Arabidopsis thaliana: one gene and its partners. The protein of the gene in region 1 interacts with the protein of each later gene in a pairwise test. Each region holds a gene or a part of one and is shown in the gene's direction. Other genes may lie near its edges. The genes, in order: CYCA3;1, CDKB1;2 and CDKD1;3.

Region 1 (5,562 bases):
ATTTTTGATATAGTTCTCTTATTTTTGTTCTGTTTCAAAACTGATTAGTAAAAGTCACATGGATAATCAGGAGTTTAGTATAAAGTTGTTTTCCAGAAATATCATTACCCAATATGCGGTTCTTCACTTTATTATCTGAGTCGTTAGTTACCAAAACCGGTTTCAAGTAAAATAGTTCTTCGATGTTGGTAAGAGTTTTCTGAAACTTTACCCTTTACTTTTAAAAATATAAAGTAATCATACAAAGTCAAAAATAATACACAATGTACCTCTTTTTCGCTACCGTAAAAAAAATATTATTAAAATGTCAAATTGAGGTTTCGCGGTGAAGAGTTCAACTCAATTTTTAAGAATTTAGAAAACCTAGTGTATATGATTGTAAAACATTTACGTTATATGTATAAATGTTATATTGCGTGTTATGTGTATTCAAGATCAACATGGAAGAACATGGAAGAATCACGGTGTTATGTGTCTTCAAAATCACTAAATTTATGATAATATAAGCCAAAACATGGAAGAATCACGGTGTTATGTACTCAAGATCACTGAATTTATGATAACATAAACCAGAACATGGGATGAACATGGAAGAATCACGGTGTTATGTGTACTCAAGATCGCTGAATTTATGATAGTATATGCTAGAAGATTTACGTTATTCTCTAATAGCTTCGAACTTTATGACATTAATAAACTAGTAGAATTTAATATGAATTGGTCAATAAAAATACATTATCTCTATAAAAATGAAATCTAGTTTACCAAACTTTTGAAAAGATTTAGTTTTATAAGGATAGGGAAAAAAAACAAATTTAGCTAAATTTTCTCAACCAATTTTCTATTAAATAGATTCTTTTCAGAATACAAATTTAAGAATTCTTAAATTTATTCCATAAAAATCTTTGTTTCTGTTGTAACATTTTTTATTTTTAGTGCTATAGATGTTTTTGTTTTTGTTTTCTTATTACGTCATATGATGGTGGTATTCAACTACATACAATCTGCAACAATTCCACGGTACAGTTCTCCCTGCAACACTCAGATTTTCTATGAATGGTTGTACATGTATGATATCCCTGCGATGGACAAACTCTCTCCGCAATAATCAGACCACTATGAACGGCTTTATCCACCAGGCAATGAGGCCATAAATATTTTTAACAGTTGCTTAGAATTGAAAATTTTCTTTTTTGGGTCTTGTTCAATCTCATTGGGCAAGACAAAACAAATTGTTGTGTTAAAAACATTGGGAAAATTCCCAAAAAAAAACCGAACTATTTAAAATCTGCCAGAAAACTACCTGAACTTTTTTCGTTGTCAGAAAAATACACAAACTAATTTTGAGTGAAAATAAAATACACGATCTATTTTTTTTTTCCAATTACCTCTCTTCACCGTAACGGACCGTTAACGACGTTAACCAAATCGTCAAACACTGTTAGTTTTATTTACAGAAAATTTCTGGAAAAAAACCTAACTTATTTAATATTTGCCAAAAAAATACATGAACTTTTTTGTTGTCATAAAAATACACAAACTAACTTAAATTGGAAATATAATACACGATCTATATTTATTTTTTCGATTTCCCTAACCAAATTGTCAAATATTGTTAATTTTATTTACAAAAATTCTTAAAAAAGCTTGACTATTAAAGCAATCCTCTAAAACCTTAAGATCTTGAGTAATATCAACCAAAATCATGTTATTGATGGGTATATTTTATCCTAAATTACTAAATTTTTTTAAAATATCTATCGTATATCTAGATTCGATGTAAGCAACAATAAATTAAAAAAAAAAATACTCCCTTTGTTAACGAAAGTTCTTCTTATTAATTTCTTCAGTTTATTATGGTTAATATCTGAAATGGATAGATGTGTTATATTAACACTAGGATTCAAAGAGGTTCAACATAGATTATGGGTTTATAAGGGGATAAAATCGGCTTTATCGCCACTCTTATTTACCACGTGTAAAGAAAATGAAAAAATATATTTTTATTTAGTTAACCTTTTGTAACCATTACGATAAAGTGAGTGAAATTGGAACACAAAACTACATCATGCTCTTTATTTCAACTTTAAACTAGTTTGTATATATTTCTGGCAGCGAAAAAAAGTTCGGGTATTATTTTGGCAAATATTAAATAAGTCGTGGTTTTTTCAGAAATTTTCTATAAATAAAATTGAAAATGTTAACCGATTTGGTTAACGCCGTTAACGGTCGTTACGGCGAAGGGAGGTAATCGGAAAAAAATAATAGATCGTGTTTTTTATTTTCAATCCAAATTAGTTTGTATATTTTTTTGACAACGAAAAAAGTTCAGGTAGTTTTCTGGCAGATTTTAAATAGTTCGGGTTTTTTTGGGAATATTTCCTAAAAACATTACTATTGGGCAAGACATATTGGGCCAATAAACAAGCCCATTGACAATTTGCATCATCATCTTCCTCGTTTACGAATTAGGTCTTCCTGTGATACCAAATTTAACATTTCCCGGTGAAAATTTCGAAGCTCAAAACTCTAATCAAAACATCGCGCCAACACAATTCAGCTTCATTTTTCAAAAAATCAAAACCTGTAAAGAATTCGGAAAAACCGCCAAAATCCAAACTTTATTCCAAAAAATCACAAAAATGTCTCTTCGCTTCTTCTCTTTTTCTCACCCTTCTCACTTCCATTCTCATCCACCTAATCTCGATCTCAATCCCTCTCTCTTGAATCCAATCAACCATGGCCGACGAAAAAGAGAACTGCGTGAGAATGACAAGAGCAGCAACAAAAAGAAAAGCTTCCATGGAAGCGGCAATAGACAAAGAACGAATCAACAAGAAGAGAGTCGTACTCGGAGAGCTTCCAAACTTGTCCAACATCAAGAAATCTCGAAAAGCCACTACAAAACAGAAGAAGAAATCAGTTTCGATTCCGACAATCGAAACCTTAAATTCAGACATTGACACAAGATCTGATGATCCACAAATGTGTGGTCCTTATGTTACATCAATCTTCGAGTATCTTCGTCAATTAGAGGTAAAGAAACAAAACCCATCTCTAGATTTCTAGATTTCACAATCTGAGTTAGTTTCTCGATTAACACAATTCAGGTAAAGTCAAGACCTTTGGTTGATTATATAGAGAAGATTCAGAAAGATGTAACTTCGAATATGAGAGGAGTTTTGGTTGATTGGTTAGTAGAAGTTGCTGAAGAATACAAACTTCTCTCAGACACTCTTTACCTCGCTGTTTCTTACATTGATAGATTCTTGTCTCTCAAGACTGTTAATAAACAAAGGCTTCAGCTTTTGGGAGTTACTTCAATGCTTATTGCTTCGTAAGCTTTTTCTTGTTTTGTTTGTTTGAATCTCTCTTTTTTTGTGTGGGTTTGTTTATTTGGATTTTGGTTTTGAAAAATTTGTAGAAAGTATGAAGAGATTACTCCTCCAAATGTGGATGACTTTTGTTATATCACAGACAATACTTACACGAAACAAGAGATTGTTAAGATGGAAGCTGATATACTTCTTGCGTTGCAATTTGAATTAGGAAACCCTACAAGCAACACGTTTCTAAGGTTTGATTCTGATTCTTTTGGTGCTCATTGAGTAATGTTTTTGTGTAGTTTATTGTCTCATTGCGTTTTGCTTTGTGCAGACGGTTTACAAGGGTTGCACAAGAAGATTTCGAAGTAAGCTCTTTTTGAATTGTGGTATTTGCAATTTATAGAGAGTATCAAATTTGCTAAGAATTTCTCTTATTTGTTTCAGATGTCACATTTACAGATGGAGTTTCTTTGTAGCTATCTTTCGGAGTTGAGCATGTTAGACTATCAATCTGTGAAGTTTCTTCCGTCTACTGTGGCTGCTTCAGCGGTGTTTCTCGCTAGGTTCATCATCCGTCCAAAACAACATCCCTGGGTAAAGCATTTTGCAAAGCGGTTCTTGTTCTAATTCTCTGTGTTCACTACTTTATATAAGAAGCTAAAGCTCTGGTGTTGAATGTAACAGAATGTGATGTTGGAAGAATACACAAGATACAAAGCGGGTGATTTGAAAGAATGTGTGGCTATGATACATGACTTGTATCTGAGTAGAAAATGTGGAGCTTTAGAAGCTATAAGAGAGAAATACAAGCAGCATAAGGTAACCCTAAATACTATTAAATGATAATTTGAAGAACAATGTTCTTGAGATTCACATGTTTCTTTTTCTATTTGGTTCAATACAGTTCAAGTGTGTAGCGACAATGCCTGTATCACCAGAGCTGCCTCTTACGGTTTTTGAAGATGTCAACATTTAGAGACAACTTTTGGTAATCGGCATAGATAGTATAAAACCAGGTAGCGGTTTCGTTGGTTTCTTTCCTTGGTGTTTTGGCTTGTACATGTCTTAGGACTACTAGTGTGATAAAGGATCTTAATATATGTTTAAAGATTTTGGTTACTTAATGATTTTTTTTGTTTGGGTTATAATTCAAGCGTTCAACACCAATGTTGAACCATGCATTTCCATAAATCTATCTAATGGGTTGATGCCTAAGCCAACCGATGCAACTATACGTAAAAGATTGAGATCTTGTGCACTACATATTCCATTCTTTGACATCCAAAGCTTTCCACTTATCTTCAGTTTTCTTCGTTTTGATAAAAACAACGCTCCATCTTTGTTTTACATTATCGTCATCCAGACATCCACACTAGAACTCGCCATCAGTCAAAGAAAAACTTCTCAAACCAATATTTTGCAGCTGTTCACTATTAGGTTCCACTAGGTTGTATATAGAAAAAGAAGATTGGTTTGAGAAGTCGCTTCTTGTCAAACCAATATTTTGCACCTGTTCACTATTAGGCATAGATAGTAACCGGCATCTGCCTATGCACTCATGAAATCCGTGAATCATATCAGCTTACTGGTTTAGGCGTTAAAAATCGGTGTTAATCGGCTAAATCGGCCGGTTTAGTGTTTATTATTTTTCTTTCAAATATGACATCTTTATAAGTAAAAAACATTTAAGTAAAAATATAATAAAAATACTTGATTACTAAAACTAAAAATTTAAGCCAAAGATTTCTATCGATAAATATAATAAAAGAATAGATATTAATTTAATAGGTGATAAATGCGAAGTTTCCACGCGACTCAAATACATCAAAACTTTGACTATTGAAATATTTTTGACTATTTATTGTGCATGGGAAAGATTTTGACTATTTAATGTGCAATCTCTTTTTTTGTTTCTTTTCTTTTTTTTGGTGCAATTAAATCTCACTTATTTACCTTAATCATGATTTCCTCTATAAATAAATCACCTTTCCTTCCTTTGTTTTTGTTTTCTTTTCTTTTCGTATTAAATTTTCTTGAACAAAAAAAAAAAGGTTTATATCTTTTTTACATAAAGAGATTTAGTGATTAGATTTTTCAGCTTCTTCTTCTTTCTTTAACCATGGATAACAAGTTTTATGTGAACACTAACGGCGAACGCAACATCTGGTCCACGGCGGCGGAGGAGAATATGACAACAGCGGCGTCATCGTCTCAGTCACAACCGCCGCAGATGCAG
Region 2 (5,277 bases), on another chromosome or scaffold:
AAAAAATATTAATAAAAAGGAATTTAATGAAAAAAACTCTCAACTTTGTCCTGATCCATTTTTAAACCCTAAACTATGTTTTTAGTAAAACAAATCCTAAACTAAAACCTGTTAATAAACTTAACTTCACAGTAATTAAATATTAATGAGATATTAATTTTTTAAAAAGAAAACAATGAGACATTTGTATTTAGCGCAAAAACCACGTGATGTTCTTTAAAACTGTTTTGAATTTATTACAAAAAAACATTCTAAATAATTTTGAATTGCTTAATTAGTTTGGATTTTAAAAGCTGAAAGAAAGACACAATAACTTAAAATAATCCAAAGAGTCATGCTTAAATAAATCCAACCAACATAACTATCGAAGCTGTTGCAACACAACAATATTTGTCACAAAAAAAAAACAATCGTTTCAGATGGACAAGATATTCTAAAGTAAAGACTTGTCAAGCATTAACTTTGAAGAGAAGATTGTATTGGCTGAGTGATAGGGTTCTCTTCATCCATTGTTTTCTGTTTTTTCCTTGGTCGTCCTTGAGGTTTCTTGGGTGGTTTTGGCATTGCTTTACACTTGCATGAACGTTTGTTGTGTCCGACTTGTTGACAATTGCTGCAAGTCTAAATATGCAAAGATTAAATTTAATAATTTGAAAATGAAGATCTTGTGAAACATAATTCATTGTTCTCTATTTTACCATTTAAACTTTTTCACGTGTATAAAGAACTTTTTGAGGTGGACGATCTTCAGTTGGATCACGGATTCTGTCATTGTTCTTTGGTCGATTTTTGGAAATTAATATCCCATTAATATTTAATTACTATGGGGTTAAGTTTATTAACAGGTTTTAGTTCAGAGTTTGTTTTACTAAAAACATAGTTCAGAATTTAAAAATAGATCTGACCAAAGCTGACGGTTTTTTTCATTAAATTCCCTTAATAAAATGGTTGCAAATAAGTTTATTGACCCTAGTAAATCAGTAACGGTTTTTCATAATCAACTTTAAAGTCTTTAAGCCATTTTCTTTCGTTTAGTCAATGCCCTATCATTGAATATTATCTTTGTTTTCTTTTTCATTATTGTAATTTTCTTTTATGTATAGTAGTCCAATAATTTTTTAATATTCAGCCATTGTTTAGTTTCCACATGAAACACACAATTTGTTTATAATCTTGTTTTTCTTTCCCCTTTACATAGAACTTCTTATGATGATTTTTATGAGTTTGTGAAATTGCATACCTTGCACATTCGTAGACCTAGTCAGAATTTTTGTTGTTGTTGTAGTATCTTTATTGTAAAAAGAAATGGTTTTCTTAATGTAACTATCGATCAAAACTGATGCAATTACCATACATGAAATTGGAATGAGTGTAAGAAGAATATAAAGTTGAAATAAATCAAAAATGTGAAACTGAATCAATATCATATGAAGTTGAATCATGTATACTAGAAGCCTAGAACACAAGAAACAACCCACCATTAATGAATAATGAGTAAGAGTTCACAGTCCCAAAATAATTGAAGTTACAAATTCGAACACAAAAAATCAAACCTAAACATTTTTCCAATTGGTTGAGTAAGTGAAAAAAAACTACGTAGTAAGAAATTCTTTTTTTGAGTTTGTGCCAAACATTGAACATTAACGTATAAGGAGAAAACTAATGGGATACAAGCTAAAACAGTTATAGTCTTATTAATTAGTATGTTAAATACTAGATTAAAGTTAAAATGAAGTTGGAAAAGCTCGAAGTTTCAACCAATTAATGCGAAATGATCGACTCTTCAAGTAATATTAATAGTTTAGCAAAATAAATGACTGAAAAATCTTTATTATGGGTTGTGGCTGCAAGCATGAGCTTAGCTTTTTGTACTCAGGGCCGGCTTTACATCAAAGATCATGCATAGATTCATTCAACTAAACATTCACCATGGATAATGAATTGAAATCTATAAACATAATCAAGCAAATATCTTATACTATACTTATCTGTTTAAAATGACTTTGAGTCTTTGACTAATAAAATATTATTGGTACGTGTGAAGCGTGCGAGGGATTCAAATGTTAAACGTTATAGCAAAGAGGCGCCTTTATTTACCAGATCTAAAATCGAAAAGGGGCTTTAGGGTTTATAAGACCCAAACAAAAAACATTCATCAGTCTCAATTCAAAATCCTCCATCAATGGAGAAATACGAGAAGCTCGAAAAGGTCGGTGAAGGAACCTATGGAAAAGTCTACAAAGCAATGGAGAAAACCACCGGAAAACTCGTCGCTCTGAAGAAAACTAGGCTCGAAATGGACGAAGAAGGTATACCACCAACGGCTCTCCGTGAGATCTCTCTTCTCCAAATGCTTTCTCAATCAATCTACATCGTTCGTCTCCTCTGCGTCGAACATGTTATTCAATCGAAAGATTCGACTGTTTCTCACTCTCCCAAATCCAATCTCTATCTCGTTTTTGAGTATCTCGACACTGATCTCAAGAAATTTATAGATTCTCATAGAAAGGGCTCGAATCCTAGACCGCTTGAGGCTTCTCTTGTGCAGAGGTTTATGTTTCAGCTTTTTAAAGGTGTGGCTCATTGTCATAGCCATGGTGTGCTTCACCGTGATCTTAAACCGCAGAATCTTCTATTGGATAAGGATAAAGGGATTCTTAAGATTGCTGATTTGGGTCTTAGTCGTGCTTTTACTGTGCCTCTTAAGGCTTATACACATGAGATTGTTACTCTTTGGTATAGAGCTCCTGAAGTTTTGCTTGGTTCTACTCATTACTCTACTGCTGTTGATATTTGGTCTGTTGGATGCATCTTTGGTTAGTAATCAGCTACTATGTCTCTTTTAATGGTCTTTTGTTCTACTGTTTGGATTACTGATGTTTCCCCATTTTTTTGTAGCCGAGATGATTAGGAGGCAAGCTCTTTTCCCTGGTGATTCTGAGTTTCAGCAACTACTTCATATTTTCAGGTATTTGCTTCTTGTTTTTGATGCCAATGTGTATGTATACAGGAACCAGTTTAGGACTTTAGCCCATTAGGTTCAGTACTCGTGAACTCATTTGGATTATGGGGACTGTCTAGTATCAATATATCTGAAGTATGGTTTTGTTTTGGGTTCTGGAGATTGTTAGGAACACCAACTGAGCAGCAATGGCCGGGTGTAATGGCATTGCGTGACTGGCATGTCTATCCAAAGTGGGAGCCGCAAGACTTATCACGTGCTGTTCCATCTCTATCTCCTGAAGGAATTGATCTTCTCACGGTAATGCTCTTTTCTAAAATATGACCATTGTTGGAGAAGTGGCCTAAGATTCTCTTGCATACTTGATCTCTTTAGTAGATTCTTTCTGTTGGGGTTCGTTCCTAGTTGATGATAATTTGTTTTGAACCTTTGAACAATTGCAGCAAATGTTGAAGTACAATCCAGCAGAAAGAATTTCAGCAAAAGCAGCTCTCGATCATCCCTACTTTGACAGCCTTGACAAATCTCAGTTCTGACCTCTGCCAAATTACTGATCAGGCTTCTCTTTGGAGTTCTGAAGCTGATGGCTCAAGTTTATTGTCTTGGTGTCTTATGCTGTGTGCTTTAGAAAGATTTGTACTTAAACTAAACAATCTGAAAACCTTGTTTGTTCAGCGAGAGTGAGAGAATCTTCTTTAAGTGGCCAATTTTATTTGTTCATGTAAACAAGTCTATCAAAGCAAAAATGGTTAACCCTATTAAGCAGACAAATCATTAGTGTACATAAATGAGAGACGAATTTGAAATATTTGCTGTTTCATTACAACGACAATTGCTACTCAAACACACAAGTAAATTACATATCTCATGATATTACACAATTGAGAAACAGAACAAGATACAGAGATCTCTTGTATTAATGTAAAAAAAACAAAACAAATGATGAGTAGCTTCAATTAGACCAGACATGGAGGAGGCCGTGTCTGTTTCCTGTGTATATTTCATTCCGTTCTTCGTCGTAGAAGAGAGCGGTTATGTCTTCCAAAGCCTCAGCAACCGCACTTCTCCTTCGAGAGGAATTCCCCAAATCACTACTGCTGCAGTCCTCTTCCTTAGGAGGACCATTATTTGCTTTTATCTTAGCTAAGCATTTACCAGTCAAGATATTGCTTATGTTAATCGACCCCGCTACATCAACAACCAAAATCACGACAATGTCTCAATAGCAAAACAAAATCAGACCATGAGGTTTCTTGATTTGAAGAGTGGATGATGAGTCTACTTACCATTTCCTTCTATCCACTGATCTTCAGTATCTGCCTTGCAATATGAGATGATCAGATCTTGATCGCTTGTTATGTAGATATTGTTTGTGTTACAGTCTGGATGCCAAAGAAGATGATCCTCAAACGAGGTCACAAGCTCTCCGCGGAAATTCCACACAGAAACATTTCGGTTCCTGAATGTTAGAAACAACTGATTCTCATACAAAAATATGAATGCTGATGGTGTCATGAAGTCAGTTCTGCTAACTTCTATCAGCTCAGCATTTCGAACCTTTAAGAACATAAAACTCTATTAGAAACATAAAAACACAAATATATAAAGCGGCTTGAACCACAAAGACAAAACCACTCACGTCAAGTATTTGTAGATTCTCGTTCTCTTGCTTAACTAGAAGCTTTTCATTGAATTGTTCAATGAAATCAACTTTCTTATTTCGGTGAAGCAAATGATGGAAGGACTTCAGAAGAGTGCCATCTTCGATTGATAGAATCTTCAAAGGAACATGACTCGCAGCTCTCTTGAAAATCAACAGCATTATCCCTGGACTGGTGCAGGTAAAATACATGCACAAGTTAGAGTGACAAGTCTTCAATCCAATCAAAAACACTCCGGAGCAACTCACTTCAACATTTGCAAACAGAAAACATAGAAAGATGTAGAAAAGTCACCTGATCTTAATTTCTTGTACATTTTTGTCTGATATCGAATATAGCAAGGCATAGTTTTTCAGATCAAACACCTTGTAAACACTGCAGAGCAAGACTATGACTCAGTTGAGAAACTTCAAGTCAACACCTTTTGAGTAATAAAGACAAGAAAAGTACCTATCCTGTGCAGAATATGTCAGCACCTTCCCATTAACATCATCAAACTCAACAAAACCTGGCCACTTTAGTGACTCAGACTCAAAAAGAGGAAATCCTGCGTCTGCTTGACCCCTCAGAATATATCTAACAAAACAAAAAACATTACTTTCACAAGTCTGAGAACTAACTTAACAAGACAACAACATCACAAGAGTAAGTAAG
Region 3 (6,321 bases), on another chromosome or scaffold:
GGGAACTATCGCATCTGGCTAGATGAAGCCCGATCTTTGACCTCTTGCTATTTACCCATGAAATGAAAGTTAAACGTCTATTTCCCCACCAATTAAAAGTTCAAGAGCTTAATGTCCCCGAAATAAAACTTCGAGAACTTAATGTCCATGAACTGGATTAAGTCGGTTTACTGTATGCGAAACCGATGACTTAACCAACTAAACCTATTTAGAACCAGAATAAACCTAATTTAAACCAAAATTATGACCCGTAACCCGACTCTCGAACCTAAACAAAAAAATCCCCAAATTCTCTCCCGACGAACCCTAATTTAACCTGACGAATCCTCAAATCCAGTTTTTCCAAACCCTAAAACTTTGATCGATCGATGTCGGGATGTCGTTAATCCATCACGACCCCGATCTTGATGGTGATGTCGATCCCGAAGCTGAAGACAGAGATAACTTTCACCTGGAAGAAATGCTAAACGAGTGGACCGACGAACCACCAATTCGCCACGACGTGTACCCGGAGAGCGATGGTGAAGGAGCCGACGACAGTTCCGACATACATGTGAGGCGTGGTGATGGGTTTTTGTACCAAAAGCAGAGTTTCTTCAGTGGAGTTGCGTTCAAAGAGGCGGTTATAGATTATGCTCTGAGAACTGGACATAATCCAACATCTCTTTGGCACTCCAACCACTCTTCCTCGACCACGAGGTCCTGTAGATCCCGACGAACTTGATGACAGATTGCTCATCTTTCAACTGGAAATAAAAAAATTGGGAATCGATTTAGGGTTCTTGAGTTTTGAGTTTGGGGTTTTAGATTTTGGATTTGGGATTCGACAATGGATCGGGTTTTAAAAACGAATCCGGGTTTTTTTGGTTTGGTTTTGACCGATAATATGGTTTCGTCTCGGGTTTACGTATCAAACCGAAGTAACCACGATTCGGGGACATTAAGCTCTTGAACTTTTAATTGGTGGGGAAATAGACGTTTAACTTTCATTTCATGGGTAAATAGCAAGAGGTCAAAGATCGGGCTTCATCTAGCCAGATGCGATAGTTCCCATGGGGAAATAGACCGTTTTTCCGTAATGTTCTGATGTTAAACAGAATGGTTTTATAACATAACAGTTCATGTATGTATGATTTGGTTCTTACCGGTTAAGTAGATAATGTATGGTGAAAATGGAAAACGACGTCTCTCACAACAAAAAACAACTAAAACCCAAAATCTCGACCCAAAACCGAATTTAACTTCAAATTAAGTAAATATGGCCCGAAGTTATAAGCCCGAATAACAGAGGCCCATTATAAAACCTGGAGCACAAGTTTCTCGTCTATAAGTGCTAGGCTACGCATAGGGCTCCGTGGATTTGTTCTAAGAGGATATTCTCCGTTGATTTGCAATTGTCAATTTCCAAGCTTCAGAACTAGAGTTCGTTCGTTCACGACGTCACTGTGGCTCTCGCGGCGTGGCTGTTACTTTCCGGTGGGTGAGGTACGGTACTTGTTATCTCTCTCCGAAACCCTAAGTAGTCCTTGGATATGTATCTTTGCCTTTTCTTATATTTACGTTTAGGAAGATAATTCGTTTTCTTGGTAGTTTACCCCTTGTATAAATATAGTCATATAGAGCTCAGGGTCAAGTGATAATCAACACATTCAATCGATCTCTTTGCATCTCTTGTCATCAAGGGTTAACTTTATCTATTATTTTGTGTTTCTCTTTGTATAGAAAAGAGATGTCGAGTGATTTGCAATCGAACTCCGGCAGATGTACCTCCGAGGACTAGATATTATGCGGATAGCTCAGCCCGTTTGGTTTTCATGGAGGGGCCTGAGATGGAGAGAAAGATGATGACAAGCTATGCGGGAAACCCAAAGTACTCCTTCTTCTGGAGCTCAGATCGTTATCATGCTTATTACCAGAAAAAGCTTGCTGGATACCGTGCGCAGAATTACATGAGGGACCTGAGATCAAACTTAGTGATTATGGGATACCTGATGTTCCATTGAGGGTGAGGGTAAGGGAACCACCGCTTCAGATTCCAAAACCTCCTCCGGGCTTTGCTAGTGACCAGAAGCCGACAATGAAGTATCCGCCTCCACCACCTCGCAAGTATGCAGCTATACTCCCTGAATGGATTACTGGCAAAGAGCTTGAAACTATCAAGGAAGGGGATATGGACGAGAAACAGCAACGATAGCTCTTAAGAAATCAGCTAAACTCTAGCAAAAACACGTGGATTGCTAATATGCTTTATAGGTTATAGGTTAAATTTGTTGAGGTATAAAACAGTCATTTCAAAAAATCAAAAATTCACGATTAATTTAGCTATTGTTTAAAAGTTTAGATATTAAATAATATTTTTCTCTTTTATAAATCGAAAATGTTTGGATATTAAATGTATAAAAAACTAGAAAAGTAAATAATTGGGCGTTTCTCTTTATTTGTTGTTTCCCTCGATTAGCCGATTGCGTCTGCAAACGCGCCAACGGCTACTTTTTCTCCGGAGCCGGAGCTCTCAAAGCTGAAACCCTAAATTTTCCCGGTATCTTCCTCATCGTCGATTTTACTCAATTTAGAATAAAAATCGGAAAGCAATCGAATTCTAGCGACGTGAATTAAGAAGAAAGAGAGAGGCGCGATTATTGAGTGGGTTCTGAAAAACCCGAAAATGCCGGAGCAGCCAAAGAAAGTTGCTGATAGGTATCTCAAGCAAGAGGTTCTTGGGCAAGGTACCTATGGAGTCGTCTTCAAAGCCACTGATACTAAGGTCATATCTTTGCTGATTTTTGTTTGCAAAATTAGGGTTTAGGATCTGTCGGCAATTCCTAATTTCTCCTTCTTTTTTGGTTCCGGATTTTGATTGAAGTTTTTGTTGGATCAAGGGGAAGTAATTGTGGGGTGTAATTTTGCAGACGGAACAAACTGTAGCAATTAAGAAGATAAGGCTTGGTAAACAAAGAGAAGGTGTAAATATTACAGCTCTCAGAGAAATCAAAATGCTCAAAGAGCTAAAGCATCCTCATATTATTCTGCTCATTGATGCATTTCCTCACAAGGAAAACTTGCATCTTGTCTTTGAGTTCATGGAGACTGACCTCGAAGCAGTTATTCGCGATTCTAACATTTTCCTCTCACCCGCCGACATTAAATCCTACCTCCTAATGACATTTAAAGGACTTGCTTATTGCCACGATAAATGGGTTTTGCACAGGTACATTTGTTTATCCTTAACAACTTGCTTATTGTCTCTGTAATGTTGCTTGGTTTGGGCACTGATTATGTGTGGCTTGAGTTCAGGGATATGAAGCCAAATAACTTGTTAATAGGAGTTGATGGACAGCTTAAGCTTGCAGATTTTGGCTTAGCACGTATATTTGGTAGTCCAAATCGTAAGTTTACCCACCAGGTATGCCTTTTGCCGCATTGCCATTTTATCTATTGCTGTAATATAACCAAATTGATCGACTAACTCATATGAAATATTGATAAGAAAGTTTTAAGTAGTTCTTATCAGTAGTTATGTCTAGGGATGAGGAAGATTAGATGTCTCATGTCTTTTCATTTCTCTAGTTGTATACTAAATGTAACATGTATTAAACAGTCTCAACTCATATTAAATGATGGTGCAGTAGCTATCTCATATCTGTACTAAAAGTTTTGCTGTTAACCGGATTTTTGACCTGAGCTATTTCTGCCTTCTTTGTTTCCCTTTGAACACCCAAAATTACAATAGAATCCATGTGAGCTCTGTTTCCAAATGCGCAATGCAACTTATTTTCTCTTGTTTCTAGTTGTTATATTATCTTCATATCTTGATATATCTGATAATGCACAGGTGTTTGCTAGATGGTACAGAGCACCAGAACTTTTGTTTGGTGCAAAACAATATGGTGCTGCAGTTGATGTTTGGGCCGTTGCCTGCATATTCGCCGAACTTCTACTACGCAGACCATTTCTTCAGGTTAAATAATCTTACTCAAATCTAATGGCTACCATTAAAACTTTAGTCCAATTGTCATCTCTTTGGATGTTATACTCACTCTCAGACTACATAATTACATATTCATTATCAATTTTCTCGGTATGTTTACTTATTCTATTTTTGCCGTTGCAGGGAAACAGTGATATTGATCAATTAAGCAAAATATTTGCTGCTTTTGGGACACCAAAAGCAGATCAGTGGCCGGATTTAACAAAGCTTCCAGATTATGTAGAGTATCAATTTGTCCCTGCACCGTCTCTACGTTCTTTATTCCCAGCAGTTAGTGATGATGCTCTCGACTTGTTGTCCAAAATGTTTACCTATGACCCAAAGGCTAGAATTTCCATTAAGCAGGCTCTAGAACACAGGTGCCTAATGTTCACCATCTGTTTATAGGCAAAGTATATCTAGCGTTCTGCTCTCACACCTTTGTTTTCATTATTTCAGGTACTTCACTTCTGCACCTGCTCCTACTGACCCGGCTAAGCTCCCAAAGCCCGTTCCTAAGCAGGATGGTAAATCATCTTACGGTAAACATGAGGCCATTACAGTGCAATCACCACCACGTAAGCTTAGAAGAGTGATGCCTGAGCGTGGGAGGGTTGATAGTTTGAAGTCTCATGTTGACAAGGATCAACAAGCACCCATGTCATTAGATTTTACCATCCTCGCTGAGCGACCTCCAAACAGGCCAACAATCACCAGGTAAAAAACAAGACAGTTTCTCCCTCACTGCATATTAATCTCATTTGTCATTACAGCCTCAAGATTGATTGTGTTTTAATGACTTCTTCTTGTTCAATTTGTAGTGCTGATAGATCTCATCTGAAGAGGAAACTCGATCTTGAGTTCCAGTAAGACTGTTGGTTATGCACTCTTCTCTTAGCTTCTCCATTTTCATGTTCTGGTGAAACCACACCATTGTTAAGTTGTCAATTTACTGCTGCTTGTGTAATCTGGCGATTTATTCTTTTCCATATTTAGCTTGATTACAAACCAGAGGGACCTTAGATTCACAATGATAATATTTTGTTGTCCCATAGGCTTTTTATTCATTGTAAACTGATCATACTGTACTATGAAGTCTATGATTATAAAGCTTTCTACTTTTTGCTTCTAGAATTCTTTGCGGTACAAAGAGAGCTCTGTTTAATCTTCAAACTCATTTTTCTTTCGATGGTGGCCCCAGGAATTTAATTGATCCATTGACAGCTCAAAAAGATTTTACCAAATACCAACAACAGGTTTATAAAACACATACGAGCCAGAAAAACAGATGCCCACATGTCAGTCAGGCTCTTCTTTAGTCATACCCGCTTGAAGACTATCACGATTGCTGTGCAGTTGTCTTTGCAACGACGTTCTTTCACAGCTTCCTTCACAAGACGGCGACTTACCGTGCTTACATGCAAGCCCTCCTACAAAATCATAGTTCTTAGCCTCTTAGTTTCTCACATTTAATTTCCCTTGACACTCTTTACTTGTGTGCACAAGGTTCTAACAAGCCATTTTGCTCACATGGCTACCGAAAAACATCTGTTTTTTGAGCTTCTTTCTATGTAGTTAAAGAGAGTGTGAAATGGAGGACAAAGTGATTTTGACAACTGTAGGTATTTACCTTCAAAAGTTTCTGGACAAATCCAACAGCATCACTTGGTCCAAACACCTGAAAACGGTTGCATTGTGTATGAGCAGCAAACTTTGATATATAAAGACAAAATGAAATGTTCTTATAGAGCACTGCAAAACCACAAACGAAGAGCTTACTTACTTCCCACAATCCATCGCAACCAAGAATCATGAAGTTTTCTCTCTCAGTTAATTCAAAAGCATGAATGTCTGGAGTTGCACTGACACCAAACTAGATTCAATAACTTGCGTTAGATGCGAATAAACCATAAGATTTTAGGATAAGTTACAGATTCTAGGCATTTGAAGTTGCAAAATGATATGGAGCAAGGTTCAAGAACATGTCGATAGAATATTGCACGCGAGAGCTAAAATGTCACAGATAATGGGCTCAATATAAAGTGGGAAGCCACCGGATCATTACCTTCTTAAAATGACGATCACCAAAAGCCCTAGAAACCTCAAGACGCCCTTGTAACCGTCCATTTGAGCTTATAACACCACCTGACTGTGAAACTCATAGCAAGTTATCAACAGAGCATGGTGTGCTCACATTTACTTGGAAGTCTCTGTCTGGCTCATCAAAAACTAACCTTTTGAATGCGAGAGCGCTCCTGTGGATAAATTGCTTTGTGCTCTCTCGTCAAAACAATTGCTTTGAGTGGATTACCTGCTTCTGTATGATTCCCCAATTCGTTGGTAGTAGAGGATCG

The links.
Region 2: the proteins of CYCA3;1 (region 1) and CDKB1;2 interact in a protein complementation assay, tested with the Arabidopsis thaliana proteins (one large-scale study listed by BioGRID).
Region 3: the proteins of CYCA3;1 (region 1) and CDKD1;3 interact in a protein complementation assay, tested with the Arabidopsis thaliana proteins (one large-scale study listed by BioGRID).

What each region holds. Positions count from the first base shown.
Region 1 is NC_003076.8:17,290,488-17,296,049, forward strand, and holds CYCA3;1 (Cyclin A3;1), read left to right. Parts: upstream 1-2,464; 5' UTR 2,465-2,739; coding exon 2,740-3,036; intron 3,037-3,110; coding exon 3,111-3,337; intron 3,338-3,424; coding exon 3,425-3,577; intron 3,578-3,657; coding exon 3,658-3,691; intron 3,692-3,770; coding exon 3,771-3,920; intron 3,921-4,010; coding exon 4,011-4,145; intron 4,146-4,230; coding exon 4,231-4,302; 3' UTR 4,303-4,537; downstream 4,538-5,562. Other genes in the region: PUM13 (pumilio 13), read left to right, coding at 5,446-5,562.
Region 2 is NC_003071.7:16,150,369-16,155,645, forward strand, and holds CDKB1;2 (cyclin-dependent kinase B1;2), read left to right. Parts: upstream 1-2,104; 5' UTR 2,105-2,182; coding exon 2,183-2,816; intron 2,817-2,898; coding exon 2,899-2,968; coding exon of another isoform or gene 2,969-3,038; exon of another isoform or gene 3,039-3,123; coding exon 3,124-3,262; exon of another isoform or gene 3,263-3,405; coding exon 3,406-3,498; 3' UTR 3,499-3,718; downstream 3,719-5,277. Other genes in the region: AT2G38630 (Transducin/WD40 repeat-like superfamily protein), read right to left, coding at 3,915-4,150, 4,249-4,519, 4,602-4,794, 4,918-4,998, 5,074-5,199. UniProt on the Arabidopsis thaliana protein: Together with CDKB1-1, promotes both the last division in the stomatal cell lineage as well as the number of stomata.
Region 3 is NC_003070.9:6,205,644-6,211,964, reverse strand, and holds CDKD1;3 (cyclin-dependent kinase D1;3), read left to right. Parts: upstream 1-2,436; 5' UTR 2,437-2,665; coding exon 2,666-2,764; intron 2,765-2,909; coding exon 2,910-3,208; intron 3,209-3,294; coding exon 3,295-3,403; intron 3,404-3,503; exon of another isoform or gene 3,504-3,819; intron 3,820-3,832; coding exon 3,833-3,958; intron 3,959-4,111; coding exon 4,112-4,347; intron 4,348-4,426; coding exon 4,427-4,684; intron 4,685-4,788; coding exon 4,789-4,837; 3' UTR 4,838-5,094; downstream 5,095-6,321. Other genes in the region: AT1G18050 (SWAP/surp RNA-binding domain protein), read left to right, coding at 377-699, 1,410-1,480, 1,723-2,003; AT1G18030 (Protein phosphatase 2C family protein), read right to left, coding at 5,287-5,397, 5,598-5,645, 5,751-5,840, 6,033-6,116, 6,202-6,321.